2 linked regions of the Caenorhabditis elegans genome follow. The protein of the gene in region 1 interacts with the protein of each later gene in a pairwise test. Each region holds a gene or a part of one and is shown on either strand. Other genes may lie near its edges. The genes, in order: cbp-2 and pcn-1.

The links.
Region 2: the proteins of cbp-2 (region 1) and pcn-1 interact in a two-hybrid assay, tested with the Caenorhabditis elegans proteins (2 studies listed by BioGRID).

The regions. Positions count from the first base shown.
Region 1 is NC_003281.10:9,921,263-9,925,493, reverse strand, and holds cbp-2 (histone acetyltransferase), read right to left. Parts: upstream 2,321-4,231; 5' UTR 2,270-2,320; coding exon 2,174-2,269; intron 2,129-2,173; coding exon 2,002-2,128; intron 1,871-2,001; coding exon 1,754-1,870; intron 1,700-1,753; coding exon 1,222-1,699; intron 1,178-1,221; coding exon 1,027-1,177; 3' UTR 1,021-1,026; intron 899-1,020; 3' UTR 694-898; downstream 1-693.
Region 2 is NC_003282.8:4,047,302-4,051,326, reverse strand, and holds pcn-1 (Proliferating cell nuclear antigen), read left to right. Parts: upstream 1-1,878; 5' UTR 1,879-1,891; coding exon 1,892-2,050; intron 2,051-2,097; coding exon 2,098-2,211; intron 2,212-2,685; coding exon 2,686-3,204; 3' UTR 3,205-3,390; downstream 3,391-4,025. Other genes in the region: wrt-5 (Warthog protein 5), read left to right, coding at 660-806, 873-982, 1,029-1,134; cdc-73 (Cell division cycle protein 73), read right to left, coding at 3,838-4,025. UniProt on the Caenorhabditis elegans protein: This protein is an auxiliary protein of DNA polymerase delta and is involved in the control of eukaryotic DNA replication by increasing the polymerase's processibility during elongation of the leading strand.

The sequences.
Region 1 (4,231 bases):
TATATAGGATCCGAGAAAATAAAGAAAATTGGAAACTGAAAAAAACACACCAGTGATTTCTGATCCAGAGGGTGGCATTTTGATTAAATCTGTACTTCAATATGCGTAAGGATTTTCAGAGAGGCAGGTACCTGGTGCATAGCACGGCTGTGCGGCAACCGAGATTTTCGGCAACCGGCAATTGCCGAAGTTGCCGAACTTAAAAAATTTCGGCAACCAGCAATTGCCGAAGTTGCCGAACCCGAAAAATTTCGGCAACCGGCAACATTTGGTTGCCGAAAATTCGGCAACTTTTCGGCAACCGGCAACCAGGTTTCAAAATTTGTTTTGTTGAAATTATATTTTTGAGTGTTTTGGATAAAAAGTATGGTCGTTTTTTTCGTTTACAGTGAAATTTTCGAAGTTTTTAGGCTCTCTGAATGCTTTTTTCTGAGCTATAAAATGTTTGACATTGATATCGGCAGTTGTCGAAGTTGCCGAACTCAAAAAATTTCGGCAACCGGCAATTGCCGAAGTTGCCGAACCCGAAAAATTTCGGCAACCGGCAACTTTTCGGCAACCGGCAACTTGGCTGCCGGTTGCCGCACAGCCCTGGTGCATAGGTAGGAAGGCAGTTATGATGCAGCTACACCTGGCACGCACCCACAAATATTTTAGTAGTTTTTACAGCCCTAAATGATACTTTAGCATATTCAATTCAATGTATTTATTCAATGTATTCAATGTATATGCATTTCACATTTTTCACTTTTACAATTTTCGAAAGGTACATTTAATTATATATATAACAAACACCAACCGAATTCTGAAAAGTCAATTTGAAATAATCAGCATATTAATTAATATAGCTACGAAAAATTTATGTTGTTGATGCAGCACATCTTTGATTTTCCCGCATCTGAAAATAATCTATTAGAGGAACCTTCAAAAACACTGGATCCGCATTGGAATGATATCAGTTTTTGATCAAGACTTTCTGAGCAGAAGTAAGATGCGTTAAGAGTTGGAGTCAGAACTCACAGAGAATCAAGCATGGAACAACTGTGGATTCTTCATAAGTTCGGCAAATACCAATTCGAGTTCTTCCTCTGTCTTTGCAGCATTCAACTGAACATTGATATCCATTAATGGTTGTTGGCTTTGATTTTGCCTATTTGTCTCAGTTTCTTGGTTGGTTCTGTGATGAAAAATGTTATATATGGTTTGATGTTACATTTCTACCTTAACTGATGTCCACCTTCATCAATACGCATTCGAGCAAACTCATCCAACGGAGATTGGGCAGCTCCTTGATTAAGTCTTGAATTCTTTTTCTCTTGAAGCTCTTTTTGAATCTCGTAAATTTTCTCAGCCAACAAATGGTAGTAATTTTTTCGGTCTATTGCAGTTTCAAACACCTCTTTTTCGACTTTTCTGGCATAGGCATTCAAATCTTTTAACCGAATATCATTCATCATCTCTGGTGCCGGGCATATCGCTTTGACCAATTTTCCGACAATATGATTCCTGAGATCATTTGTAACTTGACGATGCCATTCCTTTGTACGAACCGGCACATTTGGCGGTGGTAAGTTTGAAATATTTCCATTTGTTATACGTCCCGCTGACATTGTCGACACCCCGATTTGATGAACTACTTCACCATCTGCACTTCCATAAGAATTTCCTTTGGTGCCTATCAGATTGGCCAGATGGGGCACTGTAAATTAACAATTATTCGAAAATGTTCTGAAGTAGGATGGATAGAACTTACATGAAAATATTAACGGGACATCGCGTGCCCTTTTGAGTGGTGTGCAGACAGGACAATCTTCCCTCGAGCAGTTTTTCCAGTGAGCTATTATTTGACGAGACGATGCACAATGAGCGACTGAACGTTTTTTTAGTTTGTGAGGTAGTAGCTGAAGCAGTGACTAGAGTGTGAAGCGAAATTTTTGGTGGAAATAGGCGCTTGTTCTTGCGAAAATGTTCGAAACTCTTTCCAGCTCGTAATAGACTTACAATGACATAAACGACCAACATTGCAGTTTGTCATGTGAATCAATACTTCCTTCATAGTTGGGCAATGGGGTAATCTACAGGTAGTATGAGGAAGTGGTTGATTCCTGGCAGCAAACTCATTATTTTCCTGGAATAGCTGATTTCGGAAACCGGAATATGCTTTAAAACATACCTTGTCACGTAGTGAACATTTGTGTGCATGGAGTAAGAGAACAAGTTGTTGCTGAACAAGCTTCTGCTTCACGGGATCTTGCTGCAGTGCAAGCATGCTTAATCCAAAAGAAGTTGCCGTCCAGAGCTGATGTTACGGCTTTTTGTTCTAAACAGATGTTATCTTACAGTTTCGATCATAATTCTTTCCACAAACAAGTTTTGTTGATAACTTTAATTGTGCTAATCCGTTATTATTTTATAAATTTCTTAAAACACGTAGAAAAATTTTTATTTGATAAAATATTTAGTGATAGTCAAAAACTAACAATTTTACACGACAGAAAATTATAAGGTTGAAAATGCGAAAATCAGTGATATTTGCTTGATTCAAAAATGAACAAAGTCCTAACGACAAAACCTAAAGAAAAACCTCCAGGTGTCAAAATTGGGTAATTTCAGCCTGACGGTTTGCCTGAAAAATTTTCAAAACGGCAAAATCTAAATGAAACTGAATCAAAATCATTCAGAAGAGATCTAAATAGTTATCCATTTTAGATTGTAACAAATGAGAGAACTGACGAATATTGTATCACAATTTGGTTTTTAATATCAGTCGTTGAGTTGTACATTTTTAACACATTTATAAATAATAGGAAAGACAGGAAAATTATACACAAAAGGCAATGTTTTGTAAGAACTATGGCCCAGCAGTGTATAAAAAATCGATAAAATTATGCTCTGAATCACTCATTTTAAGAATGAGCAAAAACGAAATGAAATGAAAGAGTTTATGTTATCAATATTTAGCATGTGATACACTGCGATTTTGAAATCAGAAAGTAACCGGAATGATAATTATCGTTTTTGCTGTTGACGCCATTGATGTACTGTGTTCAACATAGTGAAACACTATATAGAGTGTGGAAATTTATAAAACTCGGTGCGGAAAAATGCATAGATGGACTATTAATTAAATGTTGCAATTTATTCTGCCAAATTTTATTTACAGTACAAAAGACGCAGCATCAGTACTTATGGATCCATAGAATGAGAACAAAAGCAGCTCTTCAAAATTGCCACTTGTTTAAGTGAACTCTTCAATAAATTGTGGTTTATGGAAATGAATGTACTGACTTTTCCCAGCATATTATTCTTTCGAATCGTTTGAAAGGAAAATAAAATGGGAAACAGCTCGAAACATATATCACAGGTTAAGTTAGATTTTGACACCTTGACGGAAAGTTTCACTCCGGGCGAGTAGCATCAGCCAATCAAATGTGCAGACCCCGCTAATATGAAGGGTTTTACCGTGTTTTCTGGAACTTTCTCTATCTCAACACTTTCAAGTTGAAAGTTTCAACAAAAAAAACAGCACACATTCTCATGAATATTTTATTTTATTCAATTCAAATATGTGCACTCTTTTGTTCCGGATATCTACATCATCCTAGAAGAGCATGTTTTGTGTAATCATCGCAGTCACTTGATAAGGATCACAGTTTGACGACGGACGACGATCCCCCAGATATCCCTTTCCCTCCGCAGCCACCTGTCTCGGAATACGGATTGAGCATCCGCAATTGGCACGAGAAACTTGTCAGTCGAACTTGTCTCATGACGTCCTGTCAAACGACGAAGATTATCTTCTCCACCATGGATCGTGCACCTTCATCGCCTCCAAATGTGTCCGCTTGAGTTCTGTCATGGCGGCTTCAATCGGTGGACCTGGAGCACGCATTTCGGCGGTGGAGAAGTTGGTGTGGCATCCGGCTCCGTTCCAGTCTCCCATGGTGACCTTTGGTTTGGGATCAAGCGATACGCAGACACCGAATTGTTCAGCAACTCTGAAATCATTTTATTATACAACTATAAGAACAAGATTGATTTATGTACCTGTGCAGAATGTATCTCGACATCCACAACTGATCTCCCATATCGATTCCTTCGCAGGTTCCAATTTGGAATTCACATTGTCCTGGAGTCACTTCGGCATTTGTTCCGTGTTTGAGTAAAGTTGCACTGGCTTATTGAAGACGTCTTCTGGAGCTGGAAGCATCAGTGGCTTTCTGGTGATGTG
Region 2 (4,025 bases), on another chromosome or scaffold:
AAAATTTTCCCAGTTACTGTAGCTCCATGTATGTGTAAACACCAGATTTGACGCCAAATTGCAGAAAAACTTGGAAAACCCGGAAAACTAAAAAAAAACCCTATTTTAACACATTTTTGTCATACAGAAAAATATTTTAAATTAGTTTTTGAAACATTTCAGAAATTTCCAATCACAAGCCGACTACCGTAACCCCAAAAACCATATCTTACGAAAAAATGCACAGAAAATCGAAAAATTAACCCGAGAATTGTAAAAACGACGGTTTTTTTTCGAAAATTAGCAAAAATATCCGTACTGTAGCTCCATTTCCGTGCAAACACCGACTACAGTAACCCAAAGCACTGGATTTGACGCCAAATTGCACGAAATGTCGCAAAATGGCTCCAAAATGCGAAAATCTTACCGTTTCTAATTGATTTTTTGATATTTCATCAAATTATTGTCGAACGTTTTGAAAAACGATTTATTCTTAGCTATTTAGCCCATTTTTTAATTAATTTTGCTTACTGTAGCCCCGTTTTTGTGAAAACACCGGCTACCGTACCCCAAAACACTAGATCTTGCCACAAAATGCACAAAAAGACGAATTTAGGGTGAAAAATCGTGCAAATCCTAGTAAAAATCATGAAATTTATCATTTTCTCAATTTTTTCCAGGAATGCCCGGAACGAGCGACTTCAACGACATGCTCCACCAATTCCTCGTGGGTCGGGGGAGTAACTCAACATTCTGACGGAAGTCTGCGGCTTATGTGTTGTGAATATGACCTTCTTCCCACATATTCAACGATTCAGTATGAGAAAGTAGGGATTTTTGGCGGGAAATTTGAAAAAATTGGGGGAATTTTTCATGAAAATCCAAATTTCCAGCTTACTATCCGCACTGGCGAGTATTTCGAGGGCGATGAGCAAATGGAAGGGGATGTTGTGACGGCTTTTGACCTGATTGGCAATATTGAGCAAGTCAAAGAGCCCGATGGGTAGGTTTTTCTCGATTATTTCAAAAATTTTGCTCGGTTTTTGCAGAAAATACTCCTACAATCTCCTCATCTACCGCTATCATTGCGGAAATATTCCCGACACACCGCCGGCATGGTACATGAAGAAACAGTGGCCGTATTGGGAAAAATGAACGATTTTTCGGCGGGAATAATTTATTTTTTTATGTTTTTCTATGCGTTTTCGGGTGTTTTCGGGTTGCTAAGCGATTGGTTGCCTTTTTGAATCACTAGTCTTGGTTTTTGTTGTTTCTGTGAATGAATAATTGGTTTTTCGAGGTTTTTTTGTCAAACATGCCTAAAAAATAAATTATGACGTTTTAGTTGATTTGTTTGTTCTTTAAACGTCTGAAAATAAGGTTTAAATCTAATTTATTAATTATAAAATTCGTCAAAATAAGTTGCGCGTCAAATTATATGTATTGTACGCAGTGTCAAACTCCAGGCCTCAGTTTTCATGAATTTACCAGCGATTTTTGTTATAAATTTTTTTATTGAAATTTAAAATTTTTATTTTTCAACCAATTTGCCTCGAAAATTCGTTATTTCCCCATTAAAAACCGCTTTTCTAAAGTGTTGCGCGTCAAATAAAATGCCTGGTACGCAATGCACGGAGAATGCGCAAAGGACGACTGCTGGCGCACTTTTTGAATGCGGTAAATTGAGGCGCGAAGTTTCATTCGAAAACGCGCGCGAAACTTCATTCATCGCACTTTCTCCGTTCATTTCGTCCTATTTTTTTGTGGTTTTTCGCGATTTTTTCGCTTTTCTGAGTGAAAAAATAATTTTCCTTCGTTTTTTCAATGAAAATCCGCGGAAAACCCATTTTTTCCCGTGAAAATCCGCATTTTTCGCTGTATTTCATAATTTTTATTCAGATCTCCCGTCAAAATGTTTGAGGCCAAGCTCGCCAACGCCGGACTCCTTAAGAAGATCGTCGAATCGATCAAGGATCTCGTCACCGATGCTCCATTCGATTGCTCCGAGACGGCGATGAGCCTTCAGGCTATGGACTCGTCTCACGTCGCGTTGGTTTCGCTCAAGTTGGAGGTAAAATTGGGAAAAATGAAGAAAATTAGCTAATTTTCCGTGTTCAGGTCGGCCTTTTCGACACATATCGCTGCGATCGGACCATCAACCTCGGACTTTCGTTGGCTAATATGTCGAAGGCGCTCAAGTGCGCCAACAACGACGATACCTGCATGCTGAAGGTGATTGTAAAAGCTTTAAATCGAAGAAATCAGCATTTTTCACCTTGAATTGTGGATTTTCATGCGAAAAATCGCTTCATTCGGACTTTTTCGCCCGAAAAATCCGAAAATGTGGTTTTTCGGTAGTCAAAAGTGGCAAAATCAGTTTTTTTTTTCGCACTAAAAATCATTGAAAATTAATATTTTTAGAGACTTTTAGGCCGAAATAGTCTGAATTAATCATTTTTCGTTCTAAAAATTATTAGAAATTCACATTTTTGGCGGAAATCAGCATTTTTCACCCGAAAAATCACTGGAAACTCAAATTGTTATCGATTTTTATGCCAAAATAGTCCGAGTTTTCCATTTTATGCCTTAAAAATCATTAGAAAACAACATTTCCGCCTGAAAAATCATTGAAAATTCAAATTTTTTATCGATTTTTCCCCGAAAAATTCCAATTTTAAGCCCAAAAATTACCAATTTTCATTGCAGTATGAGGAAAACGAAGGCGACTCGATCATCTTCACATTCGCCGATCCAAAGCGTGACAAGACCCAAGACGTGACAGTCAAAATGATGGACATTGACAGCGAACATCTCGGGATCCCGGATCAAGACTACGCCGTCGTTTGTGAGATGCCTGCCGGCGAGTTCCAGAAGACTTGCAAGGATCTGTCGACGTTCTCCGACTCGTTGAACATCACCGCCACCAAGGCTGGCATCGTGTTCACCGGAAAGGGAGACATCGGATCTTCTGTCGTCACCTACTCCCCATCTTCCAACACTGACGATGAGACTGAGGCTGTAACACTGGAGGTCAAGGATCCGGTTAATGTGAACTTCTCGATCAAGTACATGAATCAGTTCACCAAGGCGACGGCACTTTCCGACAGAGTTCGTCTCTCTCTGTGCAACGATGTTCCGGTCGTTGTCGAGTATCCGATCGAGGAGAATGGATATCTTCGCTTCTACTTGGCTCCAAAGATTGACGACGACGAGAATATGGACTAAATTTCCCCTCAATTTCCGTTAAATTACTCATGATCTCTCCCTCTCTCCCGCTAATTTTCACCTAATTTTTTGGTATATTTCTAATACTTGTGCTATACCTCTAATTTTTTTCTCACTTTCTGCTTTCTGAATCGCACTACTCCCCGAACTCTTTTGAAGAATTTTGACAAATGAATTTAACTTGGGAATTCAAAGTGTCTAGTTTTGAGCCAGTAATCATGAAAAAAAAAAAAGCCGCGAAGCGACCGCTCCGCGTGGCCAATGGAGCAATATTTCGAAAATCCTAGAAGGCAATTTTGGCCAAAAAACGAAACAATGTTTAACTGGAAAATTTGAATTTTTCTCCAAAATATTACCTTGAAAATTCACGAATTAAAAAATTTGTTGCCGCGACGCGACCGCGCCGCCTGGCTGACGAAAACTGACGAAAATTGGGCAATTTTCCGCTTGAAAATCGAATTTTCTCCACTCCAAAAATGACGATTTCGCCACGTGGAAAATGATTTTTTCGCTAAAAATTTGAATTTTCGATTAAAAATTGTTTGAAGAAAAATGGCATTTTTAATAAAATCAAAAGTGATGAATAAATAAATTTGCAAAAAATGAAGAAAAAAAGAAAATTTCCGAGAATTTTCAGAGTCCAAGACGGGCGGTGAGATGTGGCTTGTTCTTGCGTACAAAATTCTCGATTGTCTCCCAAACTTGACTGAATCGAGCCTTATCCATGTGCCGTTTCGTCGCCGAGACTGGAATCTTGTGTACATTCCACTGCATCACTTGAGCCACCGGCTTATCCTGGTCGACGTGGAAATGGAATGCAG